Arabidopsis thaliana: one gene and its partner. The protein of the gene in region 1 purifies or fractionates together with the protein of each later gene. This does not show direct contact. Each region holds a gene or a part of one and is shown on either strand. Other genes may lie near its edges.

Region 1 (8,393 bases):
AATTAGTTTTTATATTAAAACGAACGTCTCGAGGAATAGAGTTAACCAAGCCAGTTATTGAATAATGAAGCCCTATGTGAGATACTATATATGGCATCTTGATAGCTCTCAAAGCTTTGAAATCAATTAAGAGATACTATATATGGATCACATACTGAAAATTATAGCATAAAACTAAAAAGTCTAAGTGAGATACTATGGATGATGGATCACATATACATTGTAGTCATGAAGTTCTTAACGTTGAAAAGATCTATACAATTCCAAGTTTATTGAAAATGAAGAATAAATTGTAGTTGGAGCAATCGCAGAAACCAATCGACCATTTGCCGTCAGCTTGAGGTTTGCCGCCATGCATCGCCTTCAACTTCCATCACTCACAGTCACTCTGTCAATTCTTCACCCCCACAAAAGGAAAATAAATTTTTAAAATGTAAATGCCTAGTGATAATATATATAAGGAGGATATTATTTTCAGTTTTATTAAAAGTCGTCTTATAACGTTCATTAATGTTATAGGCCATCTTTGGTCTGTATCTTAAACATGGACCATATATTACATGTTAGCTCATTAGTCCTCTTTGCTTTTTCGTGTTGACTGGGACAATTTGGTGAAGTCGTCCATAGCATTCAGGCAATATATGAAGGTTCCGATTCGTTCTGACGTGGAAATTACATTGATATGTAGTTTGATTAAATTAATCGTCGAAAGTAAACAGTGTAATTGCATAATGATATATAGTTTCATTTTCTTGTAATTAATATACATTACTAATTATACAAAGTTGGAGAATAACAAAATTTGAAATCAGTAAAAGCCACCATATAAATATAAGATTTTCTTTATTTGATAATATTTGAACTTGTTTCATTTTCTTGTTTTGTTTACTATATTTTGAAATATCTGCCCTTTAATAAGAGAAGAAATAAAAAGAGCTTAAGAGGCACTCGTTTATGAGTATAACTGTAATAAAATAAAAATACTAGTTGTAGTAAAAGAAATTAAAGATGTGTTATCGAAAAATTTCGTGTCATTTGAATACTCGCATAGCTAAAACTGGGATTGAGCTGAGAGAGAAAGCCTTTGCTCCAAACCAAGTGTTGATGCTGATGGGCCTTAGAGAAATAGGCCTATTATAAGTTTTACGGGCTTCATTATAGGTATGATTCGAGGAATTTAACAAATATTTCGTTGGAAAAAAACAACCAAATAGTTTTTCTTCTTCTTTTCATTGTCTTTTTCTGGTAACCAAAAAGTTTTGGAATTTACAGAAAATTCTTGTTTTGATATGATTAATATTAATATTTGAAGTGAAAAATTCTATTATAATGATTAATGCATAGTTAAAAAATTTACTAAGATATGAAGGCTTCAAATTCAATCATATACATATTTGGTAATCATATATGAATATTACTAATATTGATTTTTATTACTAACCAAGCATATAATATATGTTAACACATAACATGAATGAGAATGGTTTAAACGTTACTAATCAAATCCTATGTATGTAATAAATAATAATATATTTAGTCGGCTACCTCCCCACTATAGTCTATAAACTATATAGTACACACTCATTTTTTTCTAAAAGTGGCATTTTAAGTGGACTTTTCTTCTTAAGAAGCATGGTGTGGATCGTTTACTAAAACGATCATGTCATCATTTTCTTCTCTTTCATATATAGCATTAGATCAGAACGCTACAATTTTTCTAATAAAATTCCAAATTATATTGATACTCTCTAGGGTTCCTAGTTCTACAAAGTAAGTTCAAAAATTCAAACAATTCGAGTCATATATTTGTCTCTTGAATCTTGATATAACAGATTCAACACTAAAAATGAGTAAAATCTAAAAAAGGTGTCTATTTAGAAAGAGGAAAAAAAAGACATTGTTATTCAATGAGTTGGAGCATTTTGAGAAAACTATTAGTACAATGTTAATAATCACGCGTGCAGATATTTTCTTCTCGGATAATTTACTTTTATTTAGCAGAATTATTGATTGTAGGCGAATCTCCACATACTCCATCCATAACTTGGTGAGTCCCATCATAGTATTCACCGTACGATCCTTTCGTGGTCGATATTGCAACTGAGGAGTAATGTCCACCCAAAATCTCACTTGCGACCCATACCTAGTTCAACATTTGTGTTCATACTCGACATTTATAAACAAAAGTGCATACAAAATATAGTTATAAAAATGAAGTGTTATGGATATTTTTTTAACCGTTGATATGTTATGAACATATTTTCTTATAAAATTTAAATATATATGGGATAGATAACCATAAAGAATGCAGTTCCTTTTAAGGTACGGCTAAGATAGTGAATCTACCAAGCCTTCCTTTTCACACCAACTATGGATAAAATACACCCGACAAAATGATTAGTGGCCATAATGTGATTATAATGAGCATGAATGGGCAAACATGTCACATTTCTCCATTACTCAATGTCTACATAAACCCTCCAATCTCACATGTTAACTCGAAACAAAGAAGAAATAAACAGAGTAAAAAACTTAAAGCTTAAAATGGGGAGGCAGCTTTATACGACGACGGTTCTCTACTTAGTCACCCTACTCTTCATTTGCCGGACAATCTCAGCCGTCCGTTTCCCTCCGGAACAACCAACAACCGATGATCTAGATTTCATCCGTACGAGCTGCAACACAACGCTGTATCCAGACGTATGTTACACGTCTCTAGCTGGATACGCCTCCGCCGTCCAAGATAATCCGGCAAGGCTAGCTAAACTCGCAATCGGCGTTTCTCTCTCCCGCGCAAAATACACGGCGGCTTACCTCTCCAAACTCTCACGTCGCGCTGCCTCAGCTGCTGTCCACGACTGCGTTTCGAACGTGGGAGATGCCGTGGATCAGATGCGTGGCTCCCTAAGGCAGCTCCGAGAGATGAACCACCGTCGTCCCGGAGATCCGGCGTTTAGGTTTCAGATGAGTAACGTGCAGACGTGGATGAGCGCGGCGTTGACGGACGAGGAGACGTGTACGGATGGGGTCACGGAGGAGATGGAAGACGGAGAGACGAAGACGGCTATTTGCGATAGAGTCGCCGACGTCAAGAGGTTCACGAGTAATGCGCTCGCTCTCGTTAATACCTACGCCAACAATGGAGCCTAACTAACTAAGCTAGGTCTTGAAATTCCTAAAGTTATAAAAACACTTGTATATATATATGTGTTAAGTTGTGTGCTTAGTTTATAATGTGTATTCGAGGCTTTGAAACCGAGTTAGAACTCTGAGTTTGGGTGTTCAAATTATACATTAATCTATGTTTGATTGTATTAATATTAATATATGTCATATGTGTTTATATGGTGTGTGCTATATGAGTAATGAAGATAATTATACATGGTTTTGATGAGTAAATTTGATACATGAACCTGGTTTTTTTTTTTTTTTTTTTTTCTTTGATGAATTTGGATATGATATGGATGAATTTTGGCCATCATGTCTAAGGGGAACTGAAACCCGTGAGATGATTAGAACATCTGACTATGACCCCAAAGTTTGTCTATTAGTGGCCCACTCTAAAATCTTTACGAAAACAAGGTTTTGTCCTTTTTGTTCACGGGGATGCCAAAAAGCTTCCATACTCTGTTCACAGTTTCTATTTCAATCCCTATTGATAATGATTACACACATTCGCTTCACAGATTTTTCTAATTGAATTCCCTTTGAAATTTTCAACTCCCGCGCTGATTCCACAGTGATTCTTTCTTCTGCTAACTGTAGCATAATTAAATTAGTGACAATAATGAATGTTTAGCATTACCAATTACATAGTTTTCCCCTCATTATTAAGTGTGAAAATGAAATCAAAGCAGCAATAATTGTTCAACAAGAGAACAAAGTTTCACATAACACAATGCAGTAATAATAATAATACACAGTCGCTAATGTTATATCTTATCTCAGGACTAAGCAACAACACACACACAAATTCTAAAGTTTACAATCCAAATACTGAAAGAAATCCAAATAAATCTAATTAAGCTAAATTAAAGCACTCTCTTACTCTCTAAGAGATTCCATTTTTCAGTAACTAAAGATTCCGAAATTGCATAAGTACCGATTAATTCAGCACCCAACCGGAGCAACCACCGTCGGCTTCACCTTCGGAGGTCTCCCACGTCCCCTACGCTCACCTGTCGCCTGAGCTGCCGGTTCCGGCGCAGCAACCGTCTCCGAATCTGTTCTCGGTCTCTTCGGTGGTCGTCCTCGTGGCCTTCCAGATCCGGTAATGACCTTCTCCTGGGGAGGCTCCGATGGATCTTTCGGCTTCGGTGGACGGCCACGAGATCTAGGCGGATCTGTAGAGACGACGGTGGCAGCAACAACAGCAGCAGCAGCGGCGTCAGATTCGGCCTGAGTCTTCTGCTTCGGAGGACGGCCACGACCACGCTTAGGAGGAGCATCTGGATCTGGTTTCATATAATTGTTCTTCACCATGATTAGCTGACCGGTTTTCTTCATCTGGTTGAGATGGTAGCTGAGCAGCGTCATGTGTGACGGCGGTAGAGTTTGTTGAGTCGACTCGATGTGCTTAGCAATCGTCGTTTTGTTGCAGCCGTTCTTATCGTTCAAGGACTCAATCGCTTCCATTATCATCTAAACACAAATTTCAACCAAAATTTCAGAAACTAAATTGAGAGAGATTGAGAGATTTTAGGGGTGTACTTCACCTGAGGATAAGGTGGGAGAGAAAACGACGGAAGTTCTGATGAATGCGTATCTGAAGCTGAGCCATGGTGGAGATCGAAGGCCATGTCAAGCGTAGAGAGTGTGTGAGGTGATGAAGGAAGGAATCTGTGTGAGGAGGGATTTTAAAAAGCAATTTGGGAAAGTGGTTTTCTCATTATTCTCATATTAACTTGTAGTGTTGATCTGACGGTTGGGGTTTTCAAACTTACGGGTTGATCCAACGGCTCTGAGTTTATAGCAGCTTTCTCGAGCAGGATTACTGACGTGGACATATGGGAATGACTTCTGCTGACTATTACCCTTAAATTACCTAATTCTCCTCCAATCTTCCTTTTTTATTCAACGAATGGCCATTGGTTCAGCCTAGCTGGATTACTAGAACAGAAAACGACATACTACGTAGCGTTTTTGCTAATCATATTTCAAATTATTTTGTTAATGTAACACAATGAGTTATATATATCTTTCATTTTTTTTCCACCAATGAAAATTCATTTATATAATCAATCCCGAGGAGTCTTTCTCTATTAGCAGAACAAGATTTGCAAGACTAGAAGATGATGTGATTTTATTACTACTCACAAACAATAGAATCATATGAGACAAATAAAGCATTTTGAGAAATATACGAAGATGGGATCACAAGAAGCCCGTGCTGCCGAAGGGGTTGTTGCTGTTATGTTGCTCATGAGCACCTGCGTTTACCGGGAACTCCCCAAAACCCGTGGTGTTTTGCGGTTCTGAAACCGGGACTACTGGAAATTCCCCCAAACCGGTGGTCTTTGACGGTTCTGATACCGGGATTACTGGTAATGCCCCAAACCCAGTGGTGTTTTGTGGTGCTGAAACCGACACTACTGGAAATTCCCCAAAACCGGTGGTGTTTGATGGTTCTGAAGCCGGGGTTACTGGTAATGCCCCAAACCCAGTGATGTTTTGTGGTTCTGAAACCGGCACCACTGGAAATTCCCCAAACGCGGTGGTGTTTGGCGGTTCTGTAACCGGGACTACTGGAATCTCCCCAAAGCCGGTGGTGTTTGACGGCTCTGAAACCGGTACTGGAAATGCCCCAAAACTGGTGGTGCTTTGTGGTTCTGAAACCGGAACTATTGGAAACTCCCCAAAATCACCAAAAGGATTTGCAGGGCTGGGTGCAACCTGTAGCTGTGGCTGCTGCTCTTGTTGATGATAGGTTGGCTCATAGAGACCGAATGGGTTGTTTACGGCTGAAGGCGGTGAAACACTGTCTGAAAATGCAAACAGGTCTTGGACCTCAAACGGATTGGAAGCTGGGACGCCATAGGCAGGCTGTTGGGCTGCTCTCAAGGCTCCATCGTCATATAGACTGTTCAGGGTGAGCGTGTCTAATCCACCCGCCTTGCATTTGTTGCAGAAAAAAATGTTAATGATTCAGAAGCCACAAAATCAATTCCCCAGAGGTGACATACGTTAACAGGACAATGGTACGTAATTGATGCATCCCATTATCACTAATACAAGAATACATCTTACCAGCTGTCTCTCTGTGGCTGCAGATATATCATTGCTAGGTGTTGTGACCAACGCAAGCTCCCATCCTGACGGATCCAAATCTCTTGCTTGCCCAAAACTAAACGGCGAAGAATCAACTGGAAACAGAAACATAACCAGAATTGCGACTAAAGACAAGCAAGAAAGGCAAACTTAGAGCTCCAGTACATAGACCAAGAAGCTCACCATCATTGGAAACTAAGGCCAAAGCTAGTGCATTTTGGTCCAGGATTGCTAACGGATCAGGTGTATCATCATGCAGACCCTGTGTGTAATACTGAGAGAATCAGAGACAAAAGGATAACAATGACAGAATAAAGAAATCAAGACCATATGTAATAAGCATAATTTACCAATAGATCATCAGTATCAATGAAGTTCTGTGGAGTTTCTACTGAAGGAGGAGACTGGGAAGAAAGTTGCGTTTCTTCAGAGGGAACAACGGCACTATCTGAAGGCGATGATGTTTCATGTTCTTCATGTGAAGGTCCAACATCTTCAGAAGTAAGACCATCATCAGGCGTATAGGTCAGAAGCTGTATGTTGACAAAGTTTTTAGAAATAAGTTATAAAAGAAAAATCATGGTTTCTGTAGGAGTAGGACCACAATGAGAGTATATATGTACCAGTGGCCCAGATGTGACGTCGACCATCTGAGGTGCGTCTCTCATATATTCCTCCATTGTTGTAAGAAAAGATTGTGGAGGCTTGAAAAAAACAAAAATAGACTTATTTAGTATTGATAAAGTACCTGCCATCACAAATTTAAATGTAACAAACAAGTTATTATCTGATACCTCTCTTAAAACAGGAAACTGGAAATTCCTTGCAAGTTCTAATCCTTTGCATACTTCATAGAAGGCAGAAAGGTTGCCAGCCTGCATTGATAAACTAACCCTTGTTAAGTGAAATCTAAATTGATCTAACAGAGAAAATAACCCAACAACATTACCTGCAAACCCGCACGCTTGTATATTTCAAGGGCCTTGATGGCCTCATGTCTTGGCATTTCAAAGAACTGCAATATATGCATGTATAAAACAGTAAGAAATCAAAAAACACATGAAGGGAGAGAGTAACTCTGGGGGAAAAGAAAAAACTGGCCTACCTTCTCTACTAGATTGATAATTCCTTCATTGATGGCACAATACACTTTAAAACTCTCCTTCAATACCTGCATACACAATTTACAATAAGATCTCAGAGCTTAAATCAAGCTGTTCTTTCCAGATAGTATATATTTGACACAACACTAAGAACTAGCGGATATATGTAAATTATGCCCCCGAGTTTAGTTTAATGTACCAGGGAGAGTGCATATTGAATGATATGATTGTGCTTAGCAGCACCTTCTGGCTGAAAAAGTCGAAAGAGCAAAGTCAGTTCATACGTCAGGAAAAGCTTCTCCAACTTAATAGAAAATAATACGGGATTTACAAAACATAGTGCACGACTCGGGAAATGACATCAAAGAAGCACCTTACAACCAATGAGACGATGCAGAAGCTGTTGTAAAGCTGGCAACTGTTCCAAGAGTTTTTCACCATCTAAATCCCTTGTTTTGCTATACCCCTGTTCATTTCCAAAATCGAATACCCTCAGGAAGGAAAGGAGATAATATAAGGCCAGAAAACCAAGTAAAACGCAAATTTGATACCTTCTCCTGCCCTGGGGAAACTTTTGGAAGACGTTCAGCCTCGATGTCATATTTCAGAACCCTGAAGCATTCAAGCCGTTCCTCAAGAAACAACGCATAAGTGCGTACCCACCCTGAACAATCCCATGCTGTAAGCAAGCATAAAGCAAATACCATATCAACAATAACTCTATGCAGAAACCTTGAATGAACCTCATTTGCTTCTAAAAACACATAGACCCGTGAATGTAGCAGTAAGGACTCACCGACTGGGCTAGAGTCATCCTTGAAATTAGAAATTTGCATAATGCGTCCTTTTTGCGAAAAATTCAATAGCTCCTCTCTAAATGTCGGATCACCATCCCTCAGAAGCCGGTGTATAACTAGCAGTGCTTTTAATGCAACCTGTTGAAGCAAAACACACAATAAAATAGCCAACAGAAAGAATGAGAAACCTAACCAAAGCTATCTACACCAATTTGAAACAATGACT
Region 2 (8,440 bases), on another chromosome or scaffold:
GTCTTTAGACAGAGACGACTTAAGAAAGTCTTTAGACAGAGACTTAAGGGACAAAGTTCGGATTGGGTTATGTTTGGTGCAAGGAAAAGAGGGTACCCACGGCTTCAAACACACATTGATCCTTGATTCGAACTTTAGACAATTACCCACGGCTTTAGAAATAAAAGTCTGAACATTGATCTTGTTTGGTACCCGCGGCTTTAAAATCTATAGACATATGGATCATGTTCGGTTTCTTGTTTCAATCTTTAGACAAAGATTAAGTTACCCACGACTTAAAAAATTCTTCAGACAGAGACTTGAGGTTCGAAAACACCAATCTTTAGACAAAATACTGGATTGGGTTATGTTTGGTGAAAGGAATGGTACCCACGACTTCAAACTTTAGTCTTTAGATTGAGACTTGAGTCTGAACATTGATCCTTCTTGGTACCCTCGGCTTGAAAATATCTAGGCATATGGATCATGTTCGGTTTCTTGTTTCACTTTTTAGACAATGATCAAGTTACTCACGGCTTAAAACAGTCTTTAGACAGAGACATGGGGTTCGAAGTAACCAATCCTTTAAACAAAAGATTGGATTGGGTTCTGTTTGGTGGAAGGAAGATGGTACCCACGGCTTCTAACTTAGTCTTTAGACTGAGACTTGAGACTGAACATTGATCCTTCTAGGTACCCTCGGCTTGAAAATATCTAGACATATGGATCATGTTTGGTTTCTTGTGTCAGTTTTTAGACAAAAATCAAGTTACCCACGGCTTAAAAAAGTCTTTACACAGAGACTTGAGGTTCAATATAACCAATTCTTTAGACAAAAGATTGGATTGGGTTATGTTTGGTGGATGGTAAATGGTACCCACGGCTTCAAACTTTAGTCTTTAGATTGAGACTTGAGACTGAACATTGATCCTTCTTGGTACCCTCGGCTTGAAAATATCTAGACATATGGATCATGTTCGGTTTCTTGTTTCACTTTTTAGACAATGATCAAGTTACTCACGGCTTAAAACAGTCTTTAGACAGAGACATGGGGTTCGAAGTAACCAATTCTTTAGACAAAAGATTGGATTGGGTTATGTTTGGTGGAAGGAAGATGGTACCCACGGCTTCTAACTTAGTCTTTAGACTGAGACTTGAGACTGAACATTGATCCTTCTTGGTACTCTCGGCTTGAAAATATCTAGATATATGGATTATGTTCGGTTTCTTGTCTCAGTTTTTAGACAAAAATCAAGTTACCCATGGCTTAAAAAAGTCTTTACACAGAGACTTGAGGTTCAATATAACCAATTCTTTAGACAAAAGATTGGATTGGGTTATGTTTGGTGGAAGGTAAATGGTACCCACGGCTTCAAATTTTAGTCTCTAGATTGAGACTTGAGACAGAACATTGATCCTGCTTGGTACCCTCGGCTTGAAAATATCTAGACATATGGATCATGTTCGGTTTCTTGTTTCACTTTTTAGACAATGATCAAGTTACTCACGGCTTAAAACAGTCTTTAGACAGAGACATGGGGTTCGAAGTAACCAATTCTTTAGACAAAAGATTGGATTGGGTTATGTTTGGTGGAAGGAAGATGGTACCCACGGCTTCTAACTTAGTCTTTAGACTGAGACTTGAGACTGAACATTGATCCTTCTAGGTACCCTCGGCTTGAAAATATCTAGACATATGGATCATGTTTGGTTTCTTGTGTCAGTTTTTAGACAAAAATCAAGTTACCCACGGCTTAAAAAAGTCTTTACACAGAGACTTGAGGTTCAATATAACCAATTCTTTAGACAAAAGATTGGATTGGGTTATGTTTGGTGGATGGTAAATGGTACCCACGGCTTCAAACTTTAGTCTTTAGATTGAGACTTGAGACTGAACATTGATCCTTCTTGGTACCCTCGGCTTGAAAATATCTAGACATATGGATCATGTTCGGTTTCTTGTTTCACTTTTTAGACAATGATCAAGTTACTCACGGCTTAAAACAGTCTTTAGACAGAGACATGGGGTTCGAAGTAACCAATCCTTTAAACAAAAAATTGGATTGGGTTATGTTTGGTGGAAAGAAGATGGTACCCACGGCTTCCAACTTAGTCTTTAGACTGAGACTAGAGACTGAACATTGATCCTTCTTGGTACCCTCGGCTTGAAAATATCTAGACATATGGATCATGTTCGGTTTCTTGTGTCAGTTTTTAGACAAAAATCATATTACCCACGGCTTAAAAAAGTCTTTACACAGAGACTTGAGGTTCAAAATAACCAATTCTTTAGACAAAAGATTGGATTGGCTTATGTTTGGTGGAAGGAAGATGGTACCCACGGCTTCAAACTTTGGTATTAAGATTAAGACTTGAGAGTGAACATTGATCCTTCTTGTTAGCCACGACTTTAAAATCTCTAGACATATGGATCATGTTCGGTTTCTTGTTTCAGTCTTTAGACAAAGATCAAGTTACCCACGGCTTAAGAAAGTCTTAAGACAGAGACTTGAGGTTCGAAGTAACCAATCCTTTAGACAAAAGATTGGATTGGGTTATGTTTGGTGCACGGAAAATGGTACCCACGGCTTCAAACTTAGTCTGAGACTTGAGATTCGACATTGATCCTTCTTGGTACACACGGCTTGAAAATCACTAGACAAATGGATCATGTTCAGTTTCTTGTTTCAATCTTTAGATAAAGAAACACTCACGGCTTAAAACATTATAAGTCATTAGACAGAGACTTATAATTTTAAACAATGGAAATTTGGATAATAAACTTACAAGACGATGTTAAACTAACCGGATTTTGGATCCCATCATTGATCGTTAGCGATTCCAAAAATTCAGCTTGTCTTCCCATCGTTAAGTAGATTTATAATACAAGTTTCTGTTGATCCTTCTTGGTACCCTCGACTTGAAACTCACTACACATATGGATCATGTTCGGTGTCTTGTTTCAATCTTTAGACAAAAGAATACCCACGGCTTAAAACATTATGTCTTTAGACAGAGACTCGAGGTTCGAAAGTAACCAATCTTTTGTCAAAAAGATTGGATTTGGTTATGTTTGGTGCAAGGAAAATGGTACCCACGGCTTTAAACTTTAGTCTTTCGAGTGAACTGAAACTTGAGATTCCAACATTGATTCTTTTGGTACCCACGGCTTGAATATCTTTAGACATATGGATCATGTTCGGTCTCTTGTGTCAGTCTTTAGACAAAGATCAAGTTACCCACGGCTTAAAATAGTCAGAGACTTGAGGTTCGAAGTAACCAATCCTTTAGACAAAAGATTGGATTGGATTGGCTTATGTTTTGGTTGATGAAAAATGGTACCCACGACTTCAAACTTTAGATTGAGACTTGAGATTAGAACATTGATCCTTCTTTGGTACCCACAGTTCAAAAATCTCTAGACATATGGATCATGTTCGGTTTCTTGTTTCAGTGTTTAGACAGAGTTGGATAATAATGGACGATGTTGGGTTATGTTTGGATAATAAATTTACAAGACCAGATTTTAAACAATGGAAATTTGGATAATAAATTTACAAGACGATGTTGAATAACCGGTTTTGGATCCCGTCATTGATAGTTAGCGATTCCACAAATTCAACTTGTTTTTACATCGTTATGTAGATTTAGAATACAAGTTTGTGTTGAAAAAAAATATATACAAGTTTCTTATTTTTTTAGAAAAGATTCCCAAATTTTTCCATACGTTTAGCATGCTACCAACCTTGTAAGAGGGTTCGTCGTTGTGTGAGATTAGTGTAATTTGTTATGGGATCAGGATCAACCAATCAAGATTTCACCAACTTGCTAATATGTGAAAGACAGACAAATAGAGTAACAGTGAAGACTGAAGATGATGGTTGTGATGTGATGAACAAGTTCTAAAATATTTAGGTCCAAAAGATCTTCCCATGGAGCTTGGTTGTGAAAGTGCTAACTGAGATTTCTCCAACATGCACACATTGTTGCAAAAGCTTCCCCCTGCATTTTATTATACAAACAAACAAACAAAAATGTCACCATAATGGATGAATGTTTGTTCACCATGAGTATGCGACTTATTAACATATTACATTTTAGCATTACTACATCCAAATACTTCAACTATCATCATATATTGGAAATTTGGATTGATGGCTTGAGTCATAAAAACCTACAAAAGGATTGGACGATACTTTTAGTAAAATCTCTTAAAATTGTCCGCAGTGACCAAAATGCTAAAAAGCTAGAAGGATATACAGACTTTTATCTTACTTTATGTATCAGAAAATCAATATTTCTTAATAAATATGATAAAGTGTTTCAGTTTATTTTGAGTTTAGAAAAAGCCAAATGAATTGGAATCAAAATAATGTAGGTAAAAAAGAGAAGTGGAATTAAAATAAAATCATTCTATCCAATCAAAACGGTAAGTAGTTGTGCGTTTTAGAGGCAAAACACCACAGCGTTTCGAAGCACGTGGATGTGTCGTGTGATACAGCAGTAGCGCACTATTGGGCATTGAGAATACATAATCATAACCCCTGCAATCTAACGGTCAACCTTTTAATAACCCTTGTAGGTTAAATCTCTACCGTTTATTCGAATTACTTTTCCAAGGTAAGAAAAAAGCAAACACAAAAGGGAATATCAAACAACAAAAAAGTAAGAAAGAGCGGTAAGACAGAGACGGAGAAGAAGGAGAAGAAGATTGTTAAGACGAAACCCTGTTGCTGTCCGTACAATGCCGCCGAAGAAGAGTAAGGCAGATGGAGAAGAAAAGGCGAAACCTTTAACGACGTTGGCGTCGTCTAGAGTGACTCGGAGCATGGACAGTCGAACTCGAAGTCAGACTCAACAAAACGGTGCTAAAGCGGCTGGATCCGCCACTAAGCCGGCGACGAAGAAGGCTAAGAGGAAGAATTCAGCGATTGAGACTGGGAGAGCCAAGAAGGGAAAGAAGGAAGAGGAAGTTGAAGAGCCAGAGGAAGCCGTTGAGGAGGAGGTTGAGAAGGAAGAGCCAGAGGTTGAGGACCCTACGAGAACCAAGATTGTTATAGAACACTGGTAATTTTTGCGTAAATGTTTTCGATTTCTTTAGAGATAATGTTTGGAATCATAAGAGCAAAAATTTAGGTTTTTTTCTTTGAAATTGAATCTAAAAGCCTACAACTTTGGGGTATGTGTTGAGACTTGTGTGTCCGTGTGTAGCAGCTAAGGTTTATTTGCTAGGGTGGAACAATGTGTTAGGTTTTCATCTTGATTCTGCATAAGTTTTTGGTTTGAGTGATTAGTGGTTTATGTTTTGCTCGCATTTGTGAAGAGGACTTGACTATCTGCTTTCTGTTTGTGTTCTTGTCTTGCTTTAGCTGAATTGCAATGCGTAATGGACGTGTTCATTCTATAAATGGAATTTGCTTCTATACTTATGTCTCACAAGAGTTCTTTTTTGTTTTGTTTTGTGATGTTATTGAAGTAAACAATGCAATGCTTTCAAGACAAGAGCTATTCAGGTGAAGGAAGCTTTGGAGGGAGCTGTTCCTGGCGTCACGGTGTCTCTTAATCCTGAAAAGGTAATGCTTTTACTGCAGATGAATATATCGTCATGAATGCTCCGTTTTGACTAATGCGTTAGAGCATACTTTTCACATTATACTTGATAAGATTTTCTTCTAAATTACTAATTCTTTCTTTTGATGTGCTTGAACAGCCAAGGCGGGGTTGCTTTGAGATCCGGGAGGAAGGTGGCCAAACATTCATCAGTCTTTTGGTAAAAACTTTCATTCTAATAAAAACAAATCTCAATTTGTCTCGCTTCTGCATATGATTTGTTCAGTTTGAGTAAGGTTTATTGTTATTACTAATTCTCATAACACCACTTGCTCTATATGCATATGAGAATGAAAATCAACTTGATCCTTATTCATTACGAGAAATGTGTTATTGTGAGTAGAAATCATGAATATGTTTTTGCCTTTCAATCTTAACATAGACCTAAAGATGTAGATTATGTTTATCTCATTTTGTAGGAGATGAAACGTCCATTTGCACCAATGAAGGCACTTGATATGGAAGAAGTCATCGAGGACATCATAAAGAAAGTCAAATGAATCTGTTCTTTGTTTCTGCCTCGGTCTCAGTTTAATCAATTAGGTTTCTGCAGAAGACTTTCTAGAGTAATGTCAGATTTGTTAGGTTCACTTTTATTGTTTCGGTATGAGCACTGTAAGTGCAGTCTCGTCGTTTGGCAATGCATGATTAGTTGATAGAGAAGGATCTCTGTAGTTTTTGGGGTTAACTCGTATTTGTAAGGCTAGTTTATTATTCATCTCGTTGCTTGAAGCAAACCGATGCATAAGTGTTTTTTGTTGTTGGGACCATGCATGGTTCTAACAATCTATGCACTGGTTAAAGCATGTTCTAACACAATTAGAACTGTGTTACAAAATCAATAGGACAAACATCACATTTGCATTCAAAATGGCTGATAAATACAATGCATGATGAGTAGAAAGCTCATTACATTTAGGTTTCTTTCACTTCCAATGGCCGTGTCTCTCTTCTTGGCTAAAAGCTACAGAAAAATTGTTTTGAATCTCACCTACCATTATTGTCTTTAACCCACATCACCCGAATCTTAGAACCCAGCAAAGCTAGCCAAAAATGCTAACAAGAGAATAACATCAAAGCTCCAACCAGCCTTAGAAGCAGAAGAAGATGGTTTAGCCTTATCAGCAGCTTCAATCTTCTCATTATCGGCGCTTGGAGCAGGAGCTGGAGAATCAGCCTCTGGTGTGTCTGTTGCAGGTGCAGGTGGAGTTTTTGGGACAGCAGAATCTGGGGAATTGTCATCAGCAGCTGGTCCTGGAGCTGGAACCACTGAAGCATCCATGGGAGTTGGATATGGAGCTACATGAACGTATGGTGGTGGAGGTGGGAAAATTGCAAGGCTGAGTCCAGGAGCCACTATTGGCATGGTAATCTGGATGATAGAGAGGTTATATGGATTGTGGTACACCGTCGAGACATACTCAGCGTTTAAAGGAGAGTTCTTCACTTCCGATCCAAAGTAAACTCTTCCTTTTGATTTGGAAACGTTCAAGAAACCATTCATCTGTTCACCCAACCCGGTGGTTTGGTATAAGGTAGTAAGCATTATACTCTTCTCCCTCATCCCCTGAAGCTTAAGCTCATCGTAGTAGTCAAGAATAACATGAGTCATGAGGATGTTCCTGAGCTCAACTTCGGATCTGTTAGTGATGGAGCTGATAGCGTCATTGCTAACAGCAAGCACGGTTATCGTCTGGTATTTGTCGATGGCTGCAATGAGCTTGGTCTTGATGAAGAGGTCCCTCATGGTGCTGAATTTGGAGTATTTCTGAAAGGCCAGCGTGATGTTATTCGCCGTAACGACCTTAGAGAAGACGAGTAAGATGGTGAGGGAGAGGAGAGAAAGGGAGGCTTTGAGACCCATCTCGTGTCGTGTGTTCTCTTTGCTAAACCTCAAGGGCGAAGAGTGGGTTTAAAAGGAGAGATTTTCTCTGTTTTTGGTATTAAATCTGAATTAGTCTTTTGGTGAGCTAAGTCTACTCTGCTATTTTTAGAGTATAGTAAGACTTGGCCATTGAGAATTTAATTATTTGATGGCTAAATTGCGTTTTAACAAGTTTTTTTATGTTAATTGAAAAAGTTTTCTTCTGTGCGAAAGGAACTAAAATTATAATGATGGAACTTGCATGTTTATTAGATGAATTTATCATTGTAACAAAATTATAGTTGTTTTGTTTACAATCTGATGAAGTTTTAGTTAATGATTTCTAAAGTTGATGGAAAAGATAACCTAAAAGACTCTTAACATGAATAATTAAACACTAGTAATTTTTATTTTTGCTAAAAAAATTACTACTCATCTACTTATTAATATCATCAATTTTTTGTATGATAATTGGCACATCGATATTTAGTTTTTGGAAACCAGAGTAAATATAAATAAGAAATGATAAATTATGATTAGAAAAAGATAAGTATTCTGAGAAAGCTAAAATACTTTTGAATAAGAGTAACAAAGAAATTTAGAATTTAGAATAGAAACTGTCTATAGCCCCGTGAAAATGACAAGTAATAACTAAACGTCAATTGCATGCTATGTTCACATTATATTTCGTTTTCGAAAAATTTAATTAATGAATTACGTCAAAGAGGTTTTCACAGTTAATGCCGCATGTTCATTAATTTCTAAACTAAATATCATCATTTGATGGAAAAGCTAGCTTAACGACTTTGAGTGTGGATGGTAAAACATATATTTTTATTTTTTTTGCTACAACTTAAAAGCATCAATTTATTATGATATTTTGGACATCGATATTCATGTTTGTAAATAATTTGCCTCAGAACTATAGAGCAAAATATAAATTAGTTGGAGTTTGCAAATAATGATAAATGTTCTTAAAAAGGTAAA

What was found.
Region 2: the proteins of HMGA (region 1) and AT4G31360 fractionate together in Arabidopsis thaliana (co-fractionation; one large-scale study listed by BioGRID). This does not show direct contact.

What each region holds. Positions count from the first base shown.
Region 1 is NC_003070.9:5,134,555-5,142,947, forward strand, and holds HMGA (high mobility group A), read right to left. Parts: upstream 4,914-8,393; 5' UTR 4,800-4,913; coding exon 4,716-4,799; intron 4,642-4,715; coding exon 4,111-4,641; 3' UTR 3,562-4,110; downstream 1-3,561. Other genes in the region: AT1G14890 (Plant invertase/pectin methylesterase inhibitor superfamily protein), read left to right, coding at 2,491-3,150; AT1G14910 (ENTH/ANTH/VHS superfamily protein), read right to left, coding at 5,374-6,111, 6,247-6,362, 6,451-6,529, 6,618-6,800, 6,891-6,971, 7,062-7,142, 7,217-7,282, 7,373-7,438 and 4 more. UniProt on the Arabidopsis thaliana protein: Binds A/T-rich DNA with a highly dynamic distribution into the nucleus.
Region 2 is NC_003075.7:15,217,222-15,225,661, forward strand, and holds AT4G31360 (selenium binding protein), read left to right. Parts: upstream 1-4,621; 5' UTR 4,622-4,723; coding exon 4,724-5,046; intron 5,047-5,455; coding exon 5,456-5,552; intron 5,553-5,689; coding exon 5,690-5,749; intron 5,750-6,008; coding exon 6,009-6,089; 3' UTR 6,090-6,406; downstream 6,407-8,440. Other genes in the region: AT4G31351 (uncharacterized protein), read left to right, coding at 466-663; AT4G31354 (uncharacterized protein), read left to right, coding at 1,927-2,124; AT4G31355 (uncharacterized protein), read right to left, coding at 2,476-2,601; FLA5 (FASCICLIN-like arabinogalactan protein 5 precursor), read right to left, coding at 6,617-7,453.